2 linked regions of the Caenorhabditis elegans genome follow. The main gene of each other region encodes a partner of the protein of the gene in region 2 in a complex. Each region holds a gene or a part of one and is shown on either strand. Other genes may lie near its edges. The genes, in order: smg-9 and smg-8. A codon is read from its position in the direction of its gene.

What was found.
Region 1: the proteins of smg-8 (region 2) and smg-9 are in contact, whole or in part, in a crystal structure (PDB 5NKM), measured with the Caenorhabditis elegans proteins. Residues at the interface, in NP_497003.3 of Caenorhabditis elegans: Pro33 (codon at 8,909), Asp34 (codon at 8,906), Val80 (codon at 8,703), Asp81 (codon at 8,700), Val83 (codon at 8,694), Ile86 (codon at 8,685), Arg87 (codon at 8,682), Leu90 (codon at 8,673), Lys91 (codon at 8,670), Asn97 (codon at 8,652), Tyr98 (codon at 8,649), Phe99 (codon at 8,646), Glu106 (codon at 8,625), Glu135 (codon at 8,538), Arg138 (codon at 8,529), Tyr229 (codon at 7,503), Ala334 (codon at 7,188), Ile335 (codon at 7,185), Thr337 (codon at 7,179), Phe338 (codon at 7,176), Ile339 (codon at 7,173), Arg341 (codon at 7,167), Ile342 (codon at 7,164), Asp345 (codon at 7,155), His346 (codon at 7,152), Glu390 (codon at 6,437), His393 (codon at 6,428), Tyr394 (codon at 6,425), Ile395 (codon at 6,422), Asp396 (codon at 6,419); in NP_497058.1 of Caenorhabditis elegans: Tyr155 (codon at 4,278), Asp173 (codon at 4,332), Tyr202 (codon at 5,570), Lys204 (codon at 5,576), Val205 (codon at 5,579), Ile207 (codon at 5,585), Asp208 (codon at 5,588), Arg211 (codon at 5,597), Val212 (codon at 5,600), Glu214 (codon at 5,606), Gln215 (codon at 5,609), Ile216 (codon at 5,612), Arg217 (codon at 5,615), Pro218 (codon at 5,618), Tyr219 (codon at 5,621), Ala221 (codon at 5,627), Ile229 (codon at 5,651), Ile245 (codon at 6,321), Val251 (codon at 6,339), Glu254 (codon at 6,348), Arg255 (codon at 6,351), Glu257 (codon at 6,357), Leu258 (codon at 6,360), Leu261 (codon at 6,369), Ser262 (codon at 6,372), Gln264 (codon at 6,378), Asp265 (codon at 6,381), Arg267 (codon at 6,387), Trp268 (codon at 6,390), Thr350 (codon at 7,450).

The regions. Positions count from the first base shown.
Region 1 is NC_003280.10:14,743,415-14,755,468, reverse strand, and holds smg-9 (Nonsense-mediated mRNA decay factor SMG9), read left to right. Parts: upstream 1-2,979; coding exon 2,980-3,210; intron 3,211-4,046; coding exon 4,047-4,352; intron 4,353-5,503; coding exon 5,504-5,672; intron 5,673-6,294; coding exon 6,295-6,601; intron 6,602-7,415; coding exon 7,416-7,560; 3' UTR 7,561-7,588; intron 7,589-8,143; 3' UTR 8,144-8,579; downstream 8,580-12,054. Other genes in the region: Y54E2A.4 (Activating signal cointegrator 1 complex subunit 3), read right to left, coding at 239-436, 484-704, 764-800; tac-1 (Transforming acid coiled-coil-containing protein 1), read left to right, coding at 1,594-1,822, 1,886-2,222, 2,275-2,491. UniProt on the Caenorhabditis elegans protein: Involved in nonsense-mediated decay (NMD) of mRNAs containing premature stop codons. Probable component of kinase complex containing smg-1 and recruited to stalled ribosomes.
Region 2 is NC_003280.10:14,438,229-14,450,489, reverse strand, and holds smg-8 (Nonsense-mediated mRNA decay factor SMG8), read right to left. Parts: upstream 9,082-12,261; 5' UTR 9,051-9,081; coding exon 8,970-9,050; intron 8,925-8,969; coding exon 8,823-8,924; intron 8,758-8,822; coding exon 8,501-8,757; intron 8,454-8,500; coding exon 8,279-8,453; intron 7,573-8,278; coding exon 7,027-7,572; intron 6,444-7,026; coding exon 6,057-6,443; intron 5,588-6,056; coding exon 5,090-5,587; intron 4,548-5,089; coding exon 4,117-4,547; intron 3,493-4,116; coding exon 3,348-3,492; 3' UTR 3,257-3,347; downstream 1-3,256. UniProt on the Caenorhabditis elegans protein: Involved in nonsense-mediated decay (NMD) of mRNAs containing premature stop codons. Probable component of kinase complex containing smg-1 and recruited to stalled ribosomes.

The sequences.
Region 1 (12,054 bases), 310 kb from region 2:
GAAACTCTAAAATTAGCCTAAAATCGATAATTTAATTTTTGAAAAACGTTTTTTGTGGAAAAATGTCCGAAAAATTGACAAATTATGTTCCAAATTGTAAAAAATGGAAAAAAAATAAAAAAAACAGCCAGAAAACCAAATTCAAAAAATCAAAAAAAAATTAGAAAATTTTTATAAATTTTTTCACTGTTATATTCTGCCATTTAGAGCAAATTTTTAAAATTTTCAAAACTATTACCTTCGCCTTCGCCTGCCTCGCATGCTCAACTTTCGCCAGCTCCTGGCTCTTCACCTCGAAAACTATTTTATTCCGTTTTTCGAGTATATCTCCGGCTAATTCGAACAATTCGACGCCGAGAAGATCGATGAGCTCGCCCTGTAGATCCATATCGGAACGTGTCGAGCACAACATTTGTAGAAGGTTTTGGGATATTGTCTGAAGGAAAATAGGTTAGAAACTTGATTTTTTAGCCGAAAATCAACCTCAAACGTATCTGGAAAATATATAAGCAATGTGTCAGCAATCGGCTGAAAAATGCTCCCAGAGCCCGAGGTAGAAGGCACTTGGGGTAGGGAAAGAGCTTCTGGAGCTTCTGAAAAACCTTCTTGTTCAGCTTCACAATTCGACCATTCTAGAAATTCCGATGGAAATCGAATTTGAATTTCCTGGTGGAAGCTTGCTACCCGTGATGGTGAGGGTGGATCTGAAAAAACATCTGGTAAAAATTTTTTTAATAAAAAAATGGAAAAAAAGCTAACTAACCATCTCCAATTCGTTCGATATAGTTGAGAAGATCCATTTTGTACCTAGTTTGGCAGCTGTAAAATTAGAATTAAAATTAAAATGAAAAACTATATTTTTCAAGAGAGAAGGATGTTCAAACATTGTTCAAAATTTCGCAATTTTTGAAAAATCGATTTTTTTCTGAAGTTTTAAGTTTTAATTACTTTTAATTTCTATTTTGTTTAATTGCCAAATATTTTTGTTTTTTTCTCTGTTTTAAGGTGAAAATTAATAAAAATGAACAAAATAAGGTCCTGGCCGCTTCCCTTCTCTGACCTAGCGCTTTCTAGGCCAACTGCACTTTTATTTGGCGGTTTTTTATGCAAAAGTGTATTATATTAATTTTTTTCGCAATAAAGATGTGTTTTTAATCATTAAAATAGTTTAAAATGAAGAGAAACATTGAAAATTGAAAGATAACAAAAAATGTTTTTAAAAAAATTCTACAGTACTTTTTAAAGGCGCAGTCCAATTTTTGTATTGATTTTCCCGCCACGATTACTCTTGTGGACTCTTTTTTCGTGCTTTTTTTGTTGTTGGTTATGGTTTTTACTGATTTTTTTTGAATTAAAAATTAAAAAATGACTTTTTTAATTAAAAATTTGTTTCAATTATTTTGAAACCCTCTTGTAAAGCCTTGTAAAACAAGAAAATTGAACTACAGAAGTTTTAAAGGCGCATACTAATCTTCAAAACAATTTTCCTACCACGAAAATAAATGATGACGCGGGAAAACTGAAGAATCGTTAATTTTCTCCGTTTTTCACGAAAAATGTCGGTTTTTTCTATTAAATTCATCCGATTTTCAGATGTCGCTCAACACAACCTTCACCAAAGAGGACGGAACCGAGGTCGTCATCCCATTCAACGGGTCGCAAAATGGGCATCCGGAGAACGAGGAGCCAGAGGTTGAAGAAGCCGCGGAGCCCAGTTCTTCAGTGGAGACACTGTGCGGTGCCACGAGAGGCGACATCATTGTGATGAAGCACACGACGAAGGCGCTCACAGAGTTGATCGAGCGGCTCTTGCACTCGGATGGTGAGAAGCTTTGAAAAATTGCTAAAAGAGATTTTAAGAGGAATAAAACCATATTAATTTCAGAATTCGAAGTCCGTCGCTGCTCAAACGGCCAAATCATCTCACAAGGCCGCTGCAACGGAACAACGCCAGGAAACGGCATCGGAGGCGGCGGGGCATCAAGCGAGGAGCTCGAAAAAGCGCTGAAAGATCGAGATGCCGCCCGTGCCGAAGCCGACAAGCTCCACGCCAACTACGCGACACTGTTCGCCTCGTTCAACACGGTTCGCGAAGCCGCCAACGACATCCGCGGCGAGTACGAGGACGCGAGGGACAAGCTGAAGCTCGCCGCCGCCGAAGTTGACGAGTGGCAGGCAAAGTTCCTCGCCGTCAAGGATAATGCGAATTCTGAGCTTGAGAGGTGAGTGAGAGAAAATTTAATTTGCAACATGTAAGAATATATTTCAATTCAGAGCATCCGTGGAGTACGACGATCTTCTCCGATCCCACGATGAGAACACAAAGGGACTCCGTCTGCGTGTAAAACGCCAGGAAATCGAGCTCTCCAGCAAGAACGACGAGATCAAGGTGCTCACGAACCGCGTGTCGGAGCTCTCACAGATTTGCGATCAACTTCTGAATGATGTCGACGTTTCCGATGGGATGTCCGTTATTTCGACGGATGCATAATTTATTTCTGTAAAATATAATATTTCTTCCCCCCGCCTTTTCGCTTTCCGCCTTATATTTTCTAATTGTACATGAATTTTTCAGCTTATTTATTTGTTTTCCAGATTATTTGTATGAGAAACAAGTACAAAAGGCTTCGTTTCAGTATTTTACCGAGAAAAACTACAATCTTCTAAATTTTCGCGCCAAAGATACAGCGCCCGGTCTCGACACGAAAAACATTTGCCAAATGCAAGCATGTGTGCGCCTTTAAAGTGTACTGTAATTTCCAGGCCGAATTTGTTTTGATTTTTTTAGTTCTCACTTGTTTTTCCAAACAATTTATGCGTTGTTACGAGGTTTTTGTAATAAAAGTCAATAAAATTCCTACAGTAATCTTTAAAGGCGCACACCTCTTTTCAGACTGCCGCATGGATTTTGAGCGAATTTTTTGATTAAAATGTATGCAAAACTTTCAAAATTTCTATTAAAATCTTGCAATTTTCCAGATGAAAAAAGTGGAAATTCTGAAAACATCTCGGCCATCATCTGCAGGAGGCGCTGCCCGACCCTCCACAGCGAGCCCAACTCATGGAGCACCGAAAATCGCCATCAAAACACGTCCGGTGGCCGATGACGTGGCGCCTACCGCCGCTACGGTCATCGAGCCATCGCAAAAAGCGATGAAGGAGTCTGTGCGATTTTTGACGGATTTCGGAGAGATTTCCGATGCGATTTCAGTGTGTTTTTTATTTTAATAATTTATTATGGAGACGCAGAAAAATGGCTTCTTGAAATTGGAGACGTGAAAACGCGCTCCACCGAACTATGGGTCTCGTTAGGGTTTGCTCGTAAATTCAAATGCTTCCAAAATTTTAAAAATTAATTTGAAAAATGTTCAAGCATTTTTCGTACTTTTTCTCAATTTTGAAGCATTTTTTGTGTTTTTTCTCAATTTTGAAGCATTTTTTGTCAAATTTCTTAAGTTTTTTGTGCTTCTTGCTAATTTTAAAGCATTTTTCGTATTTTTTGTCAATTTTTTAAGCATTTTTCGTCCCTTTTGACAGTTTTCAAGCATTTATCATTTATAATTTCAACAAAAAATTTCAACACATTAAAAAAACAGAAGACGACGAAAAAAACGAAAAATGCTTGAAAATTGACAAAAAAAATTACAAAAATTGCTTGAAAATGTTAAACAAAAAACACGAAAAATTCTTGAAAATTGACAAAAAATTACAAAAAAATTCTTGAAAATGTAAAAAAAAACACGATAAATGCTTGAAAATTGAAGAAAGAAGCACGAAAACTACTTGAACATTGACACAAAAAAATTACAAAAATTGCTAGAAAATTGAAAAAAACATTACAAAAAATGCTTGAAAATCGACAAAAAAAGGTCGAAAAATCCTTGAAAATTGACAAAAAAATTACGAAAAATAGCTTGAAAAAGTTCAAAAACAAAAAAACGAAAAACTTGAAAATTTTTAAAATTACGGTTTCGCCGCCAAACAACTAACGAGACCCATTATTCGGGGGTGGAGTTGACCGTGGAGCGCATTTGTAATTTTTCCAGGATCTCCTCACATCGAGCCCCAACTTCAACGTTATCTCTGCGATCGGGCCGCAGGGCGCCGGAAAATCCACATTGCTGAGCATGTTGGCAGGGAATAATTCACGTCAAATGTACAGGGAATACGTTTTTCGGCCAGTTTCTCGAGAAGCCAACGAACAATCACGACATCAAACAATTCAAATCGATATTTATATTGTAAATCATCAAATTTTCTTGGATTGTCAGCCAATGTACAGTTTTTCGATTATGGAAGGCCTTCCGAAGGTTCGAGGTGGACGATTCGATGATTCCACTGCGATGAGTGATGTGAGGAAGCATTTTAGACACAAAAAATCGGAAAAATTGGTTTAAAGGCGCACGAAAAGTTCTGTAAAGGTCTTGCCACGAAATTAGTTTTTCATTTAAATTAATGAGATCAGGGGTGGACGGATTTTCGCCAACAAATTCGACAAATTGCCGATTAGCCGGAAATTTCAATTCCGGCAATTTGCCGATTTGCCGGAAATTTTCAGTTCCGACAATTTTCCGGTGTGCCAATATGCCGGAAATTTTCATTTTCGACAAATTGCCGATTTGCCAGAAATTTTCAATTTCGGCAAATTTTTTGTTGAGAAATTCGGCAATTGCCGGTTTGCCGATTTGCCGGAAATAATCAATTCTGGCAATTTGCCGATTTTGCGATTTTCCGGAAATTTCAATTACGGCATTTAACCGATTTGCCGATTTGCCGGATGTTTTCAATTCCGACAGCTTGCCTGAAATTTTCAATTCTGACAATTTGCCGGTTTGCCGATTTGCCGGAAATTTTCAGTTCCGACAATTTGCCGATTTGTGGGAAACTTTCAATTTCGCCAAATTTTTTTATCGACAAATTCGGCAATTGCCGTTTGGCCGATTTGCCGGAAATTTTCAAATCCGGCAATTTGCCGATTTGCCGGAAATAATCAATTCTGGCAATTTGCCGATTTTGCGATTTGCCGGATATTTTCAATTCCGACAATTTGGCGGTTTGCCGATTTGCAGGAAATTTTCGTTTTCGGCAAATTGCCGATTTGCCGGAAATTTTCAATTACGGCATTTAACCGATTTGCCGATTTGCCGGATGTTTTCAATTCCGACAACTTGCCTGAAATTTTCAATTCCGACAATTTGCCGGTTTGCCGATTTGTCGGAAACTTTCAATTTCGCCAATTTTTTTGTCTACAAATTGGCAATTGGCGGTTTGCCGATTTGCCGGAAATAATCAATTCCGGCAATTTGCCTATCTGCCGGAAAAATTCGATTGCCGCCCACTCCTGATTGGAATATTAATTCCAAAAATATATAAAAATTCTAGAAACTAGACTTTAACATTCAAAAAAAAAAGGTTTGAAAATTCACCAAAACAAAATTCACCAAAAATTTTTATGCCCTAAAGTGAAAATCTTTAAAAAAGTAAAAATTTTCATTAATTTCAGACCCTCCGGCTCACCGCATTCCTGCTCTACGTCAGTCATACGGTACTCGTCGTTTCCGAAACACATTACGATAAAGTCATCATTGACACGTTGAGGGTTGCCGAACAAATTCGACCGTATCTTGCAATTTTTCGTCCGAAACTTGCGATTGATAGGAAGACCAATTTAGGTAGAAAAAAAAATGAAAAAAAAAACTGGCAAGAAATGGGCGGGGTTTGGAAAATAGGCTCCGCGCAATTCTTGGTTCTCCGAATTTCGCAAGACGCAGTTTTAGCGAAGACTGTGCAAGTTGATGCATGCAGAATTTTAAAGGGATTTTGTACTACACGTGGACAAGTATGAATTTATTTTTTTCGTATGCATTTGTGAATGGCTGAAATGCATATATTTTTGGATCATTTTTTGCATTTTTATAATTTTTTTTGGAAATTGGAAATTTTTTGGAATTTTAAATTTTGAAATTCCAAAAATTTTGGAATTTTTAAATTTTTAAAAGTTTTGAAACTTTGAAAGTTTAGAATTTCGGAGTTTTTTAAATTATGGAATTTTAAAATTTTGGTATTTGGGAATTTTGAAATTCCAATATTTTTAAAATTTCAAAATTTTTGAATTTTTGAATGTAAAATACGAAAAGAATAAGCAAAAAACTATTATTTTTATTCAAAAAACAAAAGTGAAATCATGCGAAAAAAAATGAATTCGCACTTGTCCACGTGTAGTACAAAGTCCTCCGTAAATCGACATGCAGAAAACCGTACCGCAGTCTTTTTGCAAAACGAAAAAAATTTCAGTATTCATCAAAACGAAGGCGAGCTCAATCGACCTGGCGCCTACAGTAATCCGGGAACGGGAAGAGCTTCTTCGACTAAGTTTCCAAGATTCTCGATGGCTGAAAGTCTCTCAGGAACCCTTTAAAACGCTGATAGTCCTGGAAGAGATTCGTGTCCGGCGTGAGCATTTGTTTGAGGAGGGCGATGAGCCTGACGAGGCTGCCTCGCTTAATGAATTTGACGAACAAATCGCAGAGTTACGAGAGGAATTGCAAAAGAATCGAGAGGATTTTACAGTGGAAACTGCGGCGATGGATGAGAAGAAATGGTACGTTTTTTAATTTTAATTTCCAAAAAAATATTTTTTTGGACAAAAAATATCGAATTACTTCAAAAAAAAAAAACAAAAAAAGTCCTAAATAATGTTTTGAAAAATAGTTTAAGGTTTTTGATCCAAAAAATTGAAAGAGACTTTTTTCAACCAAAAAAATTGGAAAAAAAATTGTTTTTGCAAAAAAACCAAACAATTAAAAAAAATCTGAAAATGAATGGAATTTTGGAAAAAAACAACCCAAAAATTGTTGAAAAAAAGCAAAAAATCAAAAATTTTGTTAAAAATCCAAAATGTAAAAAAATTCAATTTCTGCAAAAAAAAACTCAAAAAATTGGAAAAAAAACAATTAAAAAACAATTTTCACAAAAATACCAAAAGTTAAAATAAAAACCGAAAAAAAATCAGTTTCTGCAAAAAAAAACTTCCAAAATTATTTTTAGAAAACCAAGAAAAAACCAAAAAATTTTTAAAAAAACACAAACAATTGTTTTTTAGAATATTTGCAAAAAAACCAAAAATTGTTCAAAAAAACCAAACAATTTAAATTTTAAAAAACAAAAAAAATCATTTTTGCAAAAAAAAACCCTAAAAACCAAAAATTGAAAAAAATACAATTTAAAAAAAAATTAATTTTTGCAAAAAAAAAACCTAAAAACTAAAAAAGAAATCTAAAAATTAAAAAACAAAAAAATACAGAAAATCATATTTTGAAAAACCAAAAAAATAAACAAGAAATTATAATTTTTGAATTAAAAAATCCAAAAAAAAGTGTTTTTATAAAAAAAAATAAAAATTTCCGATTTTTCAGGCTCGACATGTGCCGAGAAGTGATACGAGACAAGACGTTGCACAAAACACTCAAAGAATATCAACGAGCAATGACCGACGGTGTCCGCACACATTTTGACAATGGATTCCATGCGGAAAGAGACGCGAACAAATTTTTTAGCTGAAAAATTCCGGTTTTTTGGAAATTTTTAAGTATGTAACTTTCAAAAAAACAGTGTTTTTATTGAAAAACTGCTATGTTTTTCAAATTTTCGAATAAAATTTTAAAAAAAGCTGAAAAAATATTCTCTCAAAATATCACCAAAAAATCTAAAAATTTTTTTTCTAAATGTTTCGATTTTCATTTTAAAAACCTCTAACAAAAAAATTTGGAAAAATATTAATTTAAAAAAAAACTCAATAAATAATGTACGGCTTTAAAAAAAAAATTCGATTTTTTAATGCCAAAAAGTGAAAATATTATTTTTTAACAATTAAATAAAATAATAATATGCATTTCTTTTCCGATTTTTTTTCCGATTTTCTCAAAAACAGAAATTCAAACAAAAAATTGAACAACATATTTTTAATCAAAAATCTTTAAAATGATAATACATTTAACATCAATTTTCAATTTTCACTAAAAACACCATATTTTTCCCTTAAAAATACCAAAAAAATCAAATTTTTCCCGGCAGACACCCAGGACCCCAGAAATTCCTCAAAAAAGCGTTATTTAAATTTTCAAACCCAAAAAAGTGTCTTCAGGCCTACCTACACATCATACTCATCACCATCCAACAACTGATATAATCCCAACCTTGTTTTTGCCTTTATTTTTTCTCCTCTTATGCATATTTTCTCCATATTCCTACTCTCCAGGACGACCGGCCGTCTCTCTCTTTAATCCGGGAGCAGCACCACCACCGTCACACAATTTCCGCCTCATCGCCACTCATCGGGGAGCCGAGAGGCTTATATTCCTGCCATAAATCCCCCCGTGCTTGAGAATTTTTTTCCCCATTTTTTGTTGTAAAATTTTTTTTTAATTTTCTTTTTTTTTTATGTATAATTTTTCCAATTTCATTCCCCATCATTATATCGTTTTTTTTTTTGTATTCCCATTTTTTGAGATCTAAATCAGTTGGGTATTGTTGTGCAGTTTTTGTGCAAAACAACCGGATAAAAACACTGCAAATTTCTTTTTCGTTTTTCTTTTTTTCCTCGGTTGAGCTGTGAGCAAAAAAAAAAAGAAAGAAATCGAGAGATTTTCGATTTAAAATTAAATTTTTAATATGAAAAATTTAAATTAGTTTCCAAGTGTCAGTTTCAGGACTTTTCCTTTTTCTGTCCTTTTCTATTCGATTCTCAAGTTTTCTGATATGTAAACTACTAAAAATTTTTCGAGAATTTAAATAGTTTCCCAATTGTCGTAGGTTTAGTGCATTGCGTACTTGGCATCACATTCCACGACAATTTTCAAATATTTCGTTTTAAAATCCACGGAATAAAGATATTTCTAGGCCATGTAGAGGATTCTAGAGCGAAAATTTGAAATTTTCTGCAATTTTGCGTAAAATTCGGTGCAAGACTAATTTTGCGTACTTGGTATCACATTCCACGACAATTTTTGAAATATCAAAAATTGTCGTCGTTTTCGGTGTTTTGTACGTAATACTATTAGTTGACAATAGGGACAATAGTACATTTTTTTTATCCGCCAGCAAAAAAAAACACCGAAAAACAGAGAATCCGGCCTCGTGGTCGAATTTCTTGAAATTTTCTTTGAAATGTTTCTTGTTCACCGGAAGTGTCCGCCACCCCACCATCACTTGCATTTTTCGTAAAAAAAATGACGTGATTACTCGTGAAATGCGGTTCCACGTACGCAATTGCGTGCCAAACATCAGATTTTACGAAATTTCTAGGGAAGTTCAAATAATGCCAGTGAATTTGGCCTTTCTGTGCAGATTTTGGTCTAAAAATCAAAAATTAATCGGTCCTAACTCGAGTCTATTTTTATTCCGAAGTGAAAGTGAACTTCATTAAACTTGCATTAAATAAATGTTTCCTGACGGAAAAGTTCAGAATTTTTGTCTTTTTTTTTGGTTTGGAAGTTGGACTGATGTGACATGGCCGAGTTTTCGTTCAAAATTAGGTGATTTCACGTGGACGAGTTTCTCAGTTTTTTTCGGCCATGGCCACATAATAAAAGTCCCCCAAGTGTTGCGTACATCATATCAAATTTTACGACAAACTCTCAGAAATTTGAATAAAAAGTTTCATTTTTTCTAAAAATTGGGCGAAAAACAGTTCGTGGCTTGGAATCAAATTATAATTAAAAATGTCTGAAAATTTGTCGTGAATTGTAATGTTTTAGTGAAGAAACATCAATTTAAAACTAGAAATTGAGAGTAAAAGTATTTTTTTTCTAAATTGTTCATTTGAAATTCAAGTCACACCGAATTAAATTCCATTGCTTTCTTTATTTTGCCATTTTTTCTAAATTCTAGTTCTATGATTATCTATTCTTTTTTTATTTATAAAGTGTAAAGCCCTTTATAAAGTGAAAAATAACATAAAAATCAAATTCTGGCTTATAAATTAGATTTTTTTCGCTCAATTTTTCTAAAGCGGCGGATAACAAGAAATTGATAAGTTTACATGACCTACTGCTCTTAATCCCATTTCTTCTCGCAGTTTCCCACCGTCCAGTTGCTAAGCTCCGGCGAGGACTGACGTCAGCATGACCTTGAAATTGATTTGTTCGAAAAAAAGCTCAAAAATGGAAAAGGGAAGCCGTATTTTTTTCATGAAAGTCGGATTAGGATTTTCCAATATAATAAACACATTTTTTTATAATTTTTATAATTTTCTAGAAAATTCGACTGGAGACAGTGGATTTTTAAAAAGTAATTTTCATGGTAGTTTATCCCTTTTTGCGCGTCAAGCTTGATGTATTAATGCGATACCACATTTGACGCGCAATTTTATGCCAATGCCTTTTGCTCGAATGAAAAGTAATCCATAAATCCACGAGCATAACAGGAAATTAGGTTGGGGACCACCTAATTTCCGGTTTATTTTTTTTCTGGGATTTCCGCTTGAGACCTTTCTGGGTTAGTCCTCAGAAAATATAAATGTAAAAAAACTTTTTGATCTTCAACCCTTGTGAAGACAATGGGCAAGTGCTTTTGACATTTTTAGATGACGTTCCCTTCTTTTACGGGCTTCAAACTCTAGACTAGGAAGTGACGGAGCTAATTCGTGTTTAGGCGTCAGGCAGCAGTAGGCAACTTTGTGCCTACACTTTTTTCGAAAGTAGATTTTTTTTTAAAATTTTTATTCACTTCAAAAATTATAAGTAACCCTAAAATATAAATTTTGAAAAAAATACCTTTTTTGTATTATATTATATTTTTTTTGTTGAAAAATCCTTGAATTTTATGGCATCACTTCCTTCAAAAAGTTATTCCAAATCGAAATTAAATAGTCAAATATTTTCCAAGAAATTCCTGAAAATTTTGCTGAAAACAAGGTTCAAAAACAACATCTTCCAAGTTGAAAATATCTCAAAAAAATATATTCCACCCTCTCAATTTTTCTGCTTCCATATCCGGTGTCGAGTCACTTGATTTATTCATTTTACTACTAACCTTTTTCTTCATTTGTTAATTTTTTCTTTCCTCATTAGCAGCGATAGACGCTCAAAAATCAAAATTGTTCACCTGGAATTTTATGGCAATTTCAGTTTTTTGAAGTTAAGCTTTGCAAAAAAAATGCGACAAGGTACAATAAGCTTTTCAACAATATTTATTTGAAAAAGACGTCCAAAAAATTTTCATAGAAATCGACAATTTTTTTTGAAATTAAATAAGTTTACAATGTAACCTTCTATAATAAATTAATTTTTATGAATATTTTCAATTAGAATTTTTATTCGATAAGATCCTAAAATAAATATTATTGACATTTAACCATTCTCATTAGGATTAGTGCACCTTTTTTGCGGGCGTATGCCACGTCAAAAAGATATTTCTCGATCTTTTTCGGATTTTGTCATTAATACCATTTAATAAGAAGATATGTCATACTCTATATTACTATTTATTTAAATTTCTTACAAAAAGTTTTTTTTTAATGTTTAATATTCTGAAACTTTTTGTATCGATCTTGAGGAAATATATTTTTTTAGACGTGGTACAACTCAAGGGGCAACTTTTTTTCGGCAAATTGCCGGTTTGCGGATTTGCCGTTGCCGGATATCAATTTGCCGGAAGTTTTTAGAGGGATTTTTTAAAAGATTGAAACACTTAAAACTGTGCCTTTTTGAAATTTTCTCCCCGTTTTCTTTAGATATTTTCATACAATTTGCTTACTTTTCAAAATAAATGTAGGAGCATTCATGGGATGCGTGCAATTTTTTCAATTAAAATTGAAATTTAAAAAAAAATCCAAAAAAAGGTACAAACCCACGATTTGCCGAATTTTCGATTCCGGCAGTTTACCGATTTGCCGGAAATTTTCATTTTTGGCAAATTGCCGATTTGCCTTCCGGAAAAAATCGTTTGCCGCCTACCTCTGATACAACTTTTGGAGTGTGGCGGTCAGCAAAAAACTAAAACTACAAAAGATTTTGAACTGTTTTTTTGTTCAAAATTTTCCAATGTTCTCAGCCA
Region 2 (12,261 bases):
TTTCTCGTTACGATTTGAATATAACATTGAATTTGAAACCAAAAAAACGAAAAAGTCAGGCCAAGAATTTCAAGTAAAAGTTTAGATCCGCCACTTGGCAAAATCGAAAAATTCTCTCTAACCAAGCATCAAATCTCAACATTTATTAATTTCTGGTTTAGCATTAAAGTTTTATGTGCAACTAACTCCTCAAAAATAATTCAGAATAAAAATAAACTACATATGTGGATAAATCTCCCGAGACTCGCCAAATGTTAATAATTCGATTATTTGCACTGGACACTCTAGACTTGAGAGAGCCCAGAATACCGCACCATAATAACAAAACATACTGATGACGTGTAACGCTTGAAATATGAAAAAGATCAAACATTTTGATCTAAACTATTAACTTTCAATATTTTCTTCATTTTAAGTCGATGCATCCAATTTCGGTTTAAAAAAATAGATAAATTGCGCGCGTCCCATTTAATTTCAAATACATCAAATTAAATTAAGTTGCAAAACTATTTGAAATCAAAAATACATCAATATGCAAGAACATATCACATGAATCCTCTGAATTTCTTATACAGCCCAATATTTATCAAAATTTTCACAGTAAACATAATTTTTAACGAAATAAATTACACTATTAATAATTTATTCGTACCTAAAATATTACCAAAATGTTCGTCTAGACCTATTAGAGCCTGAAATGATGAATAATTTTTTTGGATATCAACCCACTAGTTATAAATCATCAAAAAAAATTACTCTACCAAACATGACGTCTACATGTATTCTAAAACCTATTTATACAAAATTTTGCTTCTATTTAGAAACAAGCCAGTTGAGAATCAAATAAAAAAGGCAGCGTTCCAGGTAATTGAACATTTGATTGACATCATTTTCTATTTTTGGTTCAGAGCAGGTTTGCAAAATGTAAAATTAAAAACAAAGAGGAAATCGAAAGTCGAATACATTAGTTTTGAAAATTGAAATCTCACAACTCAGCTTTCATAAAAACACACAAAGCTTGACAAATAGCTCGGCAGAAGATATCAACTTGAAATTTTTAAAAACATTTGTGGAATTGAAAGCAAGTTTTAGGGAAAAGATCGTGGAAGTATTTATTCCTCGTATGAATTCTCAGAAAAATATGCGAAAATTATTATTGCCAAAAAAATTGTAGTTGGCTTTACCGGAACAGCTAATTTTTAAATATGGTTGTTTTGAACGCACAAATTAATTTTCCTATTGCTTTCTATCTTCAAACTGTTGTAAAATTCATTTGACTAAATTTAAAAATAATAAGACCAAAACTCTGAACTTTCAAAAGATATTTTTGGAAATTTGAAATATATCTCTTTCAATAGGTTGCTACAAAGAAATTAGCAATTCGTACTGAAAAAATCTATTTCGGTCCAAAATATTTTTACAGAGTATTCAGGGGTTGAGGGTTCTAAAAATTAAACAAAATAACGTGATTCCTTTTCTGTGAATTTTAGTTTTTTTTTTGGAAAAATGCATGAAAATTTCCAAAAAAACTCGAATGTTTGCTTATCTCTCGAAACCTTTTAAAATAATCACCAGTCTTCAGAGCAACGTTACGGTATTCAAAAGTGATTTTAAAATTTTGAGTTCAAATAGTATCTGCATAAATTTCATTGAAAACTCCAAACAAAATCAGGAAATCTTTTTTACAATTTCTAAGAACAAGAAAACATTTTCAAAGCTTTTTCAAACTTTTGTCGAAGTTTTGGTCAATTTTCAAATTGTCGAAAAATTTGACTTTTTCGGAAACACCAATTTGTGAAAATAAATAACAACAATTTATTTTTTTGGTATTTGTTAATTTTAGCTTTATTCATTTTTAGCTGCCTACTCCTGAAATCCTTAATAACAAATTAAAAACTACACGAATCTCGGAAGTGTTCTGATTGAAATTTGAAGCAGTTGAGAAAATCATCGATTTCCAATTGCTTAAGTTTTAAATGGAAGTGAGGTCAAGTTCAGAAAAAATCTAAAAGATTGGTTTTACATAAAAGCAGAACTGGAAAACCATTTGCAAAAATAAAAGGATCAGCTTTCACATGCGCCACAAATTTTCAGCCACTCGGAACATCTACTCTCAATTTTGTTGGCTTTTTCTGTGTGTTTTCCAAAAGCTTAATCTCAAAAATTTAAGAGGGACCGGGCGTCCTGATTGGATTGTCGAATTGATGAAATAGGGGATGATGACCTAGAAATCCCAGTTTAATGCCGTTTTTTTTTAAAGAAAAAAAAACGAGGAGCAGAGGAAACACGCATTTGCCTAATCAATCCGAAAACATAAACGGGCGGTCTCTTTTTCGCGTTACCCGAGAGTGGAGGGCTTCTCCTACTAAATTCTGCATCAATTATTCTAGCATCTGAGGCCCAGTTTCTATACACTAGAGAGAAGCGCCGAAATGAGTTTTCAGTCCGGGAATGATTCTCTTTTTGGAGGAGGAGACTCTGAGTTGAACTAGACTCGATTTGTCGATGTATCCTTTAATGATTACTCTATATCAAAAGATCAGTTTCAAAATGAGAAACGAAAGCTAAAATTGAAGAACAAAAATTTAATTCGCGCTTTTTTCTCTGAAAAATTATTTTTCTTTAGATGGCTGAAAAAAATTGGGGAAAAAAATGAAAAGTTGCCTATATTTGTTGAAAACGGGTAATTCATGTATGCTGAATTCAAAACATCTAGGTTTAACCCATCAAAAACTATTAAAAATTGGCAAAAATCGGAAATTTATTGTAAAAATTCACAATTTTGAAACTTCTATAGAATGGTTAATTTTGTAAATAGAGGACTCAAAATTGATTTCCGAACACTAAAAAATTGTCTTTTTTCAATTTCTAGTAATTTTGTACAATTTAAAAAATTATTTTTTTGCCCAAAAAAAGATAGTCATTAGATGGCCGAAAACAAACTGGGGAAAAAAAGTCTAAATTTGTTGAAAGTGGGTAATTCATGTATGCTGAATTCAGAAAATCTAGGTTTAACCCATCGAAAACTATTAAAAAGTGCGCAGATTGGGCAATTTATTGTAAAAATTCACAATTTTGAAACTCCTCTAAAATGATTGATTTTGTAGTTAGAGGTTTGTAAATTTGTAGTTTGTAGTCTCGTTAAAATCTTCAAGCCCTAAAAAATATTTGCCGACGCTGCTAGCCACTTTTGATAAGTTGAAAGCCACAAGGGACCCCTCAAGGTTTAATATGATTGTTTCTGCGATGAAATATTTTGGTTTGCCGAGATGAGGAACAATCCAATTTATTTTTTTTAGGAAAAAGCAATAGATTTCGGAATTTACACATAAATCACACGAGAACAATCACCACTTGAACGACATCACAGGTTTGTAGGCGACTTTCAGCGCTCCGCCCATCCAGACACCTTGCTTTTCAGGATTGAACTCTCCGGGCATCCAGGCTCCCGATGGACCAGAGTAGACAGTTGGCAGGTGGAGGATGTAGTATCTGGTAAGAAATGTATGATAATTTATTGCCAAAGTTCGAGAAAATGTACATTTTGCGCCTAAAATACGGTACCCGGTCTCGTTATGACAAATGTTTGTTAGACGCAAAGAGGTGTGAGCCTTTAAAAGCGGAGCATCAAAATCTGGGGAATATAATTTTATAATTATTCCGAATTTGCCTCTGATCCCGAATATCTACCGTATTTCTTCTATTAATACGGCTGCAATACTATTTTTCGAAGGTCTTCCCGCTTGCAATACTATTAGGGAGTGCAAGACTAATAGGGAGTGCCAGTCTAATAGGGAGGCCATACTAATAGAAGATATACGGTATCTGATTAAAAGTCAAAACTACACACCCGCGCCAGAGGCATTATCGCGCCGTGTCATGTCGATTTACGAGACTAGTCCTGAAGCTGAAATACCAAATCAGGGGATTTTTTTTTGAATTTTTCGCATTGGCATTCGGTATCAGGGACACATTTTGAGACATTTAAAAATATTTCTCAGATTTCGGCACCTTTACAGGCGCACATATTTTTGAAATAAAAAAAAATTGTCGTTTCGGGACCGATAACCGTATTTTTCGCGCGAAAATGGTAAAATTCTGCGTCCTCGTAATTACTTTGAATGATGAAGTTCCAGCGGCTCCTGTCCAGTTCCATAGACGCCTTCGTGAGTTGGAATCAAAACTTTCGGATCAATAGTAATATGAACTGGTGCTTTTGGAGTCACCACATGAACCTTCTGCAGTTGTGCGGATTGCAGTGGAAGCTTCCGGCACGTACATGGTCTTCTAATCGGAAGATCAGCCTGGAGGACATTTCCCAACGAACTTCGGTGCGCGGATTCTCTGATAACATTCGATCCTTTCGAGTAGATGAGCGGTTCTCCGTTGTAGTCCACAAAGAAGCGGTGACCACGGGAACATTCATATTCGAATCCAACAAAAAGTTTGACACGTGCCGAGTCGTCCTTGTTGTCTTTTCCGCACTTTCGACTGAAATCCTCGCTTCGAATTTTGTTCAGATCGCGGTTCCAGACGTCGAAGTTCACCTTAAATTTATTTTTCGAATGGGGAGCAAATTGCCGGTTTACCGATTTTTCAAAATATAAAAAAAAGAAAATTTTTCGATTTAACGATTTTCCTAAAAAATCAAAAAAAAAAAACGACACCCTTGATGGGGAGTACTGTCAACTTTCAAAAAAAAATGTTACGGTACATATTTTCAATTCCGGCAAATTGCTTTTTGAAAAATAGATGTATGAACATTCATAGAATGCGTACAATTTTGCCAATCGAAATTGAAATTTCGAAATTTCAAAAAAAAAAAAAAAGTTCAGAACCAGAATTTGCCGAAATTTTCGGCAATTGCCATTTTTCCCGCAAATTCGGCAAATCGGCAACTTACCGGTTTGCCGAAAATTTTCAATTCCGGCAATTTGCCGATTAGCTGATTTGCCGGAAATTTTCAAATCTGGCAATTTAAATTTGAAATTCTGAAATTACCAACAAAAAATGTACAAGACCACAATTTATTGACTGAGCTACCTGCCCCCCAATTTTTTAAAATTTTTTTTTTTCAAAAAATCCTTACATCTAATAGAACAACTACAGGCGATAAATAATCTCCCCCAATTTTGAAATTCGGTTGATTCTTAAGTCCAGCTCCATGACTGTAAATACTCGAGTCACCAAGTGACGTTAGATGCCACGATGGAAATATTGGCAGCTTTCCGGTGGTCATCGAGTTGGGCACAGTGATCAGAAAATCTTCTGATTTTCCAGCGAGTTCGAGCTTTTGCATCCGCTTCACGTGGTCGATAGTCAATTCTCGTTCAGTTTTCGATGCCATAGATTCATCGCGGCGACTCGTCGGACGAAGGTAGGCATCCGATTCTTGTGATGAAGACTCTGAACTGCTCATAGTTCTAACTCTGACGTCATCTTCGTCAGATGGTGACGTTGAATCGGGATCCAACAGGCTTTCAGGAATATCCAGGTCAGTATCTTCCTCGGCTAACTCGTCTTCGCGCTGAGCCATCTTTTTCGCGGCTCGGAGAGAATTTGACTCTCGGTCAGCCCACATGATGTCCTGAAAATTGTAAATCCATTTTTTGTAATATTTTTGGCGGGGAATTCAAAATTTTAAGAAACAATTTCGGCGGGAATTCAAATCTTGAAGACAAATTTCGAGAGGAAAACAAAATTTTATGAAAAAATTCGTACTTTTTGAGAACAAATTCAAATAAAAAAAATTTGGAGGGAAATTCAAAATATTTGTTTTAAATTTTGGAGGGAAATCAAAGTTCTTAAGAAAAAAATTTTGAATGGAAATTCAAATTTTCTGAGAAAAATTCTGGCGGAAAACTACAGTTTTTAGAAAAATTTTGGAGGGAAATTCAAATTTTCTGTGAAAAATTTTTGGCAGGAAATTTAATTTTCTGAGAGAAATTTTCGCGGGAAATTCAAATTTCCTGAGAAAATTTTTAGCGGGAAATTTAAACATTAGAATTTGTAGCTCCTAGGCTGATTATATCGTAAAATATTGCCAGAAAACTAACATCCTTCTCCTCAGAATCCTCTTGATATAACTGAAACTGATATCTCCACAATCGCCTACAGCACTTGAAATCCGGGTGATCATAAAAATCGGAATTCGCTTCTTTAACAGAGAACGGTTCAGGACGTATCAGTTGTTTCCGTCCGCAGACACACGTGGAAATCATCGTGTTTGAAGCGTCATGCGCGGTCCAGCGGTGCTCGGGAGCCGTCTGATCACCAAATGTGGGATGGATTTTCCGAACACACGAGCGGCCCATCATTGAGACAGATTCGCATGCACGCATATCGGATTGCCACATCTCATTGCATTGAGCCTGAAGTTGAGACAGCGCTTCACGTGAATTCACCCCGACAACTGAATCGATGTAATGAGTGGCTTCGTTGAACTGCAAAACATTTTGGAAACTAATAAAAATGCAAAATTTTTTTGGTTTTTCAACCTAAAAATGTTGTCTAAAAAGAATGCGAAAAAAACGCGCCTTTAAAGAGTACTGTAATTCAAAAAAACTTTTCCTAAGATAATACTTAATTTAGAGGTGGGCGGCAATTGCAATTCCTTTGGAAACATTTATTTATTTGATTTGATTTGACTTTTCACAGATCTCCTTTTTGATTGCTTTTTCCGTGTTTTATTGTAGTTTTTCAATTAAAACCTCCCTAAAATTTAGGAATTACAGTACTCTTTAAAGGCGCATTCTATTTTACATTTGCCAAAATCTTGTCGTTTCGAGACCAGGAAACCCCAAATTTGGCTAAAAATCTGAAACACTACAAATGGAAACAAAAAAGTTCTGAACGAATTTTGAATTTCGCTCCAAAATGAGAACTCTCAAGCTAATTGGTTGGAGAGTGGGCGGATCGAATCGCTGCATGGTCGCAGTTCTCATGGCGGAGGGAATTTAAAAATTGCGTCGATTATTTTAATATTTTGATTTTTTTTTGAAGCAAAGCAACTTTTAAAGCCCGTACCCTCATCAAGTGCTCCTCCTTGCTTCGAATTTTCACCGGTTTTTCAGAATCTTTGAACCGATCCGCACCCCGTCTCTCTCCTGGCCGCTGAGCATTAGTGTAAAGTCGTCGAGCTTCTTCCATATGGTCATTTTGAATTCTTTTGATAAATGTTTGAATGGCAGTTTTCTCGTGTTTTTCCTCCAAATCACCATCGAGAACACACTGTAGGCAGTTCATCAATTCGATCACGTTTTCCAGAGAAATTTCGTTTTTCTCCGAGCGAAAATTGTCCTCTAAAAATTTGACGAACGAATTGTTGCTGGGAAGTGTTCCGGCGTTTCCGGATATTTTCGTATTTTCAGCGTCGGCCATCAGAATCTCGAACATTTCTCCGATGATATCTCTTTTTACAATTTTTGGATTCAAAAGATGGACGACCGGTATTGTTTCGTTCAGCTGGCATAAGGATGATGCTCCGCAATCGATAAGGTCGTAGAGCTTCAGAATGTCGCTGAATTGATTATCGAGGTTCTTCTCCAGTTTTTCGTAGAGTTCACGCTGAAGCTTGGAAGGGGTTTTTTTTGGGTTTTTTTGTCCTCAAAAAAGTTTTTTTTTTAATTTTTCGGGCTAGATTGGTGTTTTTTGTTTGTTGGAATTTTTGGTTTAGAGGAAATCAAAAAAACTTGATAATTTTTTTTTTGAAAATATTATTTTTTAGGTTTAGAAGAAAATTTTTTTTAATTTGATCCAAAACATGGTTTTGTTTGAAATGTTTTTTTTTTTATTCTTTAGGTTTAGAGGAAATCAAAAAAATGATCAAAATTTTTTAAAAAATGTTTTTCTTTTCGGTTAAAAAATAAATTGAATTTTCGAAATTTTGTTTCTTAAATATTATCAATTTTTTAATCAAAATCAATAGATTATAATAATCCGATTTTCAAAAAAATCTCAATTATCTCAGAAAAAGACCGTTGGGGCGCGATTTCGAAAATTTTAATAAAATTTTAAAACTGATTTTTTAAAAGCTGGTTTCGATATTTTTGCAGTTGCAGACTTCTGGTTTCTCACGATTAAAAAAATTAATTTGTAATAGTTTTTTAAAAAACTATTGAAACTATTGAAAAAAAAAACTTAAAAAATCAAGGAAGACTCATTTTTTTAGCCGGTAAATTCAAAAATAAATCAGTTTTTGAATGTTTGGAAAATTCAAAGATTAATGTTTTAACATGTATTTTCTACATATTGAAGCAAAAAACGTCATTTTATTAACCTTTTTGCCGGGATTCACGTCTGGCCGGATATTATTCCGCTGGAAAGCAATCAAAAGACGTGGCACAACCATTCGACCCTCAGATTCTGCAGATGACAAAATTCGATTATTAAAAGAGACATCGCGAAGATCCGAAGCAACCAGACGTTGATTTATTTTCTTTCGCAGCTGAATTCTGAAAAAAGTTTTTTGTAAAATTTTGCTTTTTTTTCAAATATTTACCTCGCCGAGTTGACTTTTTTTAAAAATCTCATGAGTTCCAAGTCGATTCTTGATGTTTGCTCAAAAATAATGATAAAATGACACGAAATAAACAAAAAATGCAGCATTCGGATTTGTTGGCATTCACTTTCAGCCATCGCATCGAAATAGTTCGATTTTGGATTTGATTTTAGACATTTTCGAATGTTCGCGACGTCATCTACACCATTCATCACCAGAAACAAAATCTGATCGTCTTCGGAGAAGTGACCGCGAATCTGAAATTCTTTTTTAATTTTAGTTGGAATTTTAAAATTTTAAAATCAAAAATTCAAAATCTCACCGTACAAGTCTCATCTTCAGTTGCAGCCACTGGGAAAACATTTTCCCTTAAATAACAATTAATATTATCTCCTTTTCCGTGATCCGGATAGTCTTTTCCAATCTACAAAATCGGAATTATTAACAAAAATCGATTTCCATCACTTACAACTCCAATAACTTTGATTTTAGTGTCAAGTTGAGTGCTGTAACAAGTCCTTGCATGTTCTACCCATTTAGCTATGTCCATTTTTCACTGAAAACGCAAGAAGTTTAATTTTGCGAAAAATACGACGAGAAAAAAACAAATAAATAATAAATAATGCAATTGCGCTCTACTGACACGCCGTAGTGATTGGAGACGAAGAGTGATGATGCGCACAAAAGCGAGGGAATTTCAAATCGAGGAAAGGCTCAAACTTGTGAAATCGTATTGAAAAATTAGTAAATTATGGTTAAATTGCATGATAAAAAGGTGTTCAGGTCTTCGATTTTCTTATTGCCCAGATGTTTTTCAAAAAAATATTCTGAAAAAGATAAATTGTATTTTTCAAATCTTAATTTTTAGCACGATTACAGACCTACTGTACAATGAGAGAATCAAAATATATGACCCCTTTTCAATGCTAAAGTGTCCTGATTACAAAAGGATTCTTCCGCTCAGCAAATTTCGAAATTTGCCGCACACATCAAAAAATTTGACAATAAAATTTTGACCAAAACTATTGATTTTGCCCGCCAAACATTTAGGAAAATGGCACAAAATTGAGTCATTTTGATGTTTAAGAAGATACACGACACAGAAGTTATTCAGAGCTCGGCAAATTTTGAGATTTCCCAGTAGAAGCTAGCCTACTTTGTTGGTATTTTCTGGAAACTGACAATTATGAACAGTTTTTTAAAAGAAAAAAAGAAGGGCTCCCATTGATTTTCCCGAAATTTTGAATTTTGAAAAATAAAGATCCTTTAAAGCTGGAGAATCCTTCTGTAAGGAGGGCCCTTTGTCGTTTCGAGACCTAATACCGTAAGTTTGATTCAAAAATCGCAGTATTTCGCGTTTGGGTAGTTACAAAAAATCGGCCATTTTACATTTTTCGATTTGCTGGAATTGGTTTTAGCCTTTCAATAAATTTCGTTTGGTGTATCCCTTTTTTCTAATTTAAATTATTACGTTTTTGATAAATCTCGAGTGTCTTCTTATTTTACGTATATTTTTCCACATTGTTCAATTTTCCCTTAAATTAGATCTAAAAAACAACCGAGAAAGTTGAACATTTTTCTATATTACCGGTACAGAGAGTGTAGAGATAGTTAGACTCAGACAAATGATATCAGAGTTACTTCCAAACAAAAATCAAAGTTATTCAGAGCTAAAGCGAAATAACCGCTAAACTACATACCTCTACTTTTACTCGGAGTAACTACGCCTTTACCCTACCCAGCTCTGATTAGGCCTGACTAGCTCTGAGTTACTTCGCCTTTTTTTTTGGCAGAACTTATATTTCTCTGATTTACTCAGAATAATTGCGCTCTAATCTGAATAGCTCTGCCTTGTATGGAAGTAAGTCTGATGCCGTTTGTCTGATAGTGAGCGCGAGAGTGACAGACATCAGGGACCCAAAGTGACGGGGCTCGGGAAGAGACGATTTGTGTCGTTTTACGAAATGTTGACAACGAGGTAAACTCTGTAAATCGACACAAATAGTATCAGTAAATATGTAATGTTTTCTGCCCAGTATCTCTTCAGATTTCAATATATTCAGATATCCATATCTTTTCCGGTCCCCCTACATATTGCCAACACATCGTTGTTGAAAAAGCAAAAAGGCATTATAGACCATTACAAAACGTGAGACGCGGACGGGCACATGCGGCGACGACGGACGGACAGAAAGAGATTTGTTTCGTTTTTCACTTCACTCTTCCGTAATACATAAATATTGCCAACATATGGTCTGTTACATTCATTTTTGATATTATTCGATTATGGTGCGTCGCCCCGACGTCTATTATAGACATACATTTTCTTCAAAAAATACAGTAGCTACAGTTGTAAGACTATTGTAAGAAAAAAAATACTGTATTTTTTAAGTGGCTACTCTTTTTGAATTTCTTAAAGTCTTTCTAGTAATTAAAATTGTAGGGTAGGGAGGCGCGGTTTCAGGGCCTGCCGCCTACCTGAAATCTGCACGCCTCAAGTGGATTTGAAGTGAATTTTCAAATTTCAAATTTTCTTATTTCTACCAATTTGTTGAAAATCCAATAAAGAAATTTTAAAAACATCACGTATATTGGCGAGATACAGGCTGAGGTAGAATTAAGGTCAGACAGGCAGGCATTTAATACCTACATCAAGGCCCTATAGAATTGTTTTATTAGCGCTTCTAATCTAGTCTTATATGCAATTTTCTCCAAATTAGTAGCTACCTTCAAAATTAGCAACACTAAAAATTAGTTTTATATCATTTTTTGCTTTAAAAGTTTTAGGAAATACGTAGTTCTTGTTGATACCAAATAAATAATATGGCCTAGCTCTTTAAATAATGTTCAACTCCACTGTGATCAATCTTTTCAAATTAATCCAATTAAAAATAAATTAAATTTGATCAACACAGTCATGTCTATCCCAATTTCCATCACACGGCGTAGTTCGAAAAAAAAATTCTCAGAGCGAAAATCGAATATATATACCCTATGATGGTCCACCAAAATGAGCTCTCAAAAATTGAGAGATTCCAGTATTGCATGCCTTATTATTAGACTAAATACGATATGATAATAATTTTTTTCACTATAAAATAGGCATTGAACAGCTACCGTAGGCATTATTTCCCTACAGGTAAGCATTTTTATGAAAGGCTTGTTGTTGGTATTGTGTGTACAATGCTCCAGAGACCACATGCAATTTGTATAATACCACTATTTTGTACCACCTGTCCATCTATTTAGGCTGTTCATATATGGTCTTAACTGCGGCCAATTTTGGGTTTAGATTTGGAGTTTCTTTTGGATTAAGTGTACTTTAGCCGGCGCAATTTGATTTTTGTGAGTTTCGAGGAACTTATTAGTTTTCTTTTTCCCACAAAAGTGGGATGTACTTCTAACTACAGTGTCATTACCTGCATCTATCGGCATTTCCTAGAAACTTCAAAATTATTTATGTACAGCATTGTCAGGCAATTATGAGACTTCCGTGCTTGTTATGCTTCTTACCGAATTAAAAATATTTTTTCCGTCTATCGCATAATACACTCGCGGGTTTTGTCATTGCATCGTCGTCGTCGTCCCCTCGCAACCCACCACTTGGTCGGGTGGGGGCAATTCGTATACACACAAGTACCCCTTGTCCTGTTATCAGTCGCCTCTCTGCCGCTTGCCACCGCTCATCGTCCGCTGTGTTTCTCCTCCTAACATATCGGTATTTGCATTCATTCATATCGACCACACCAATCTCTACCACG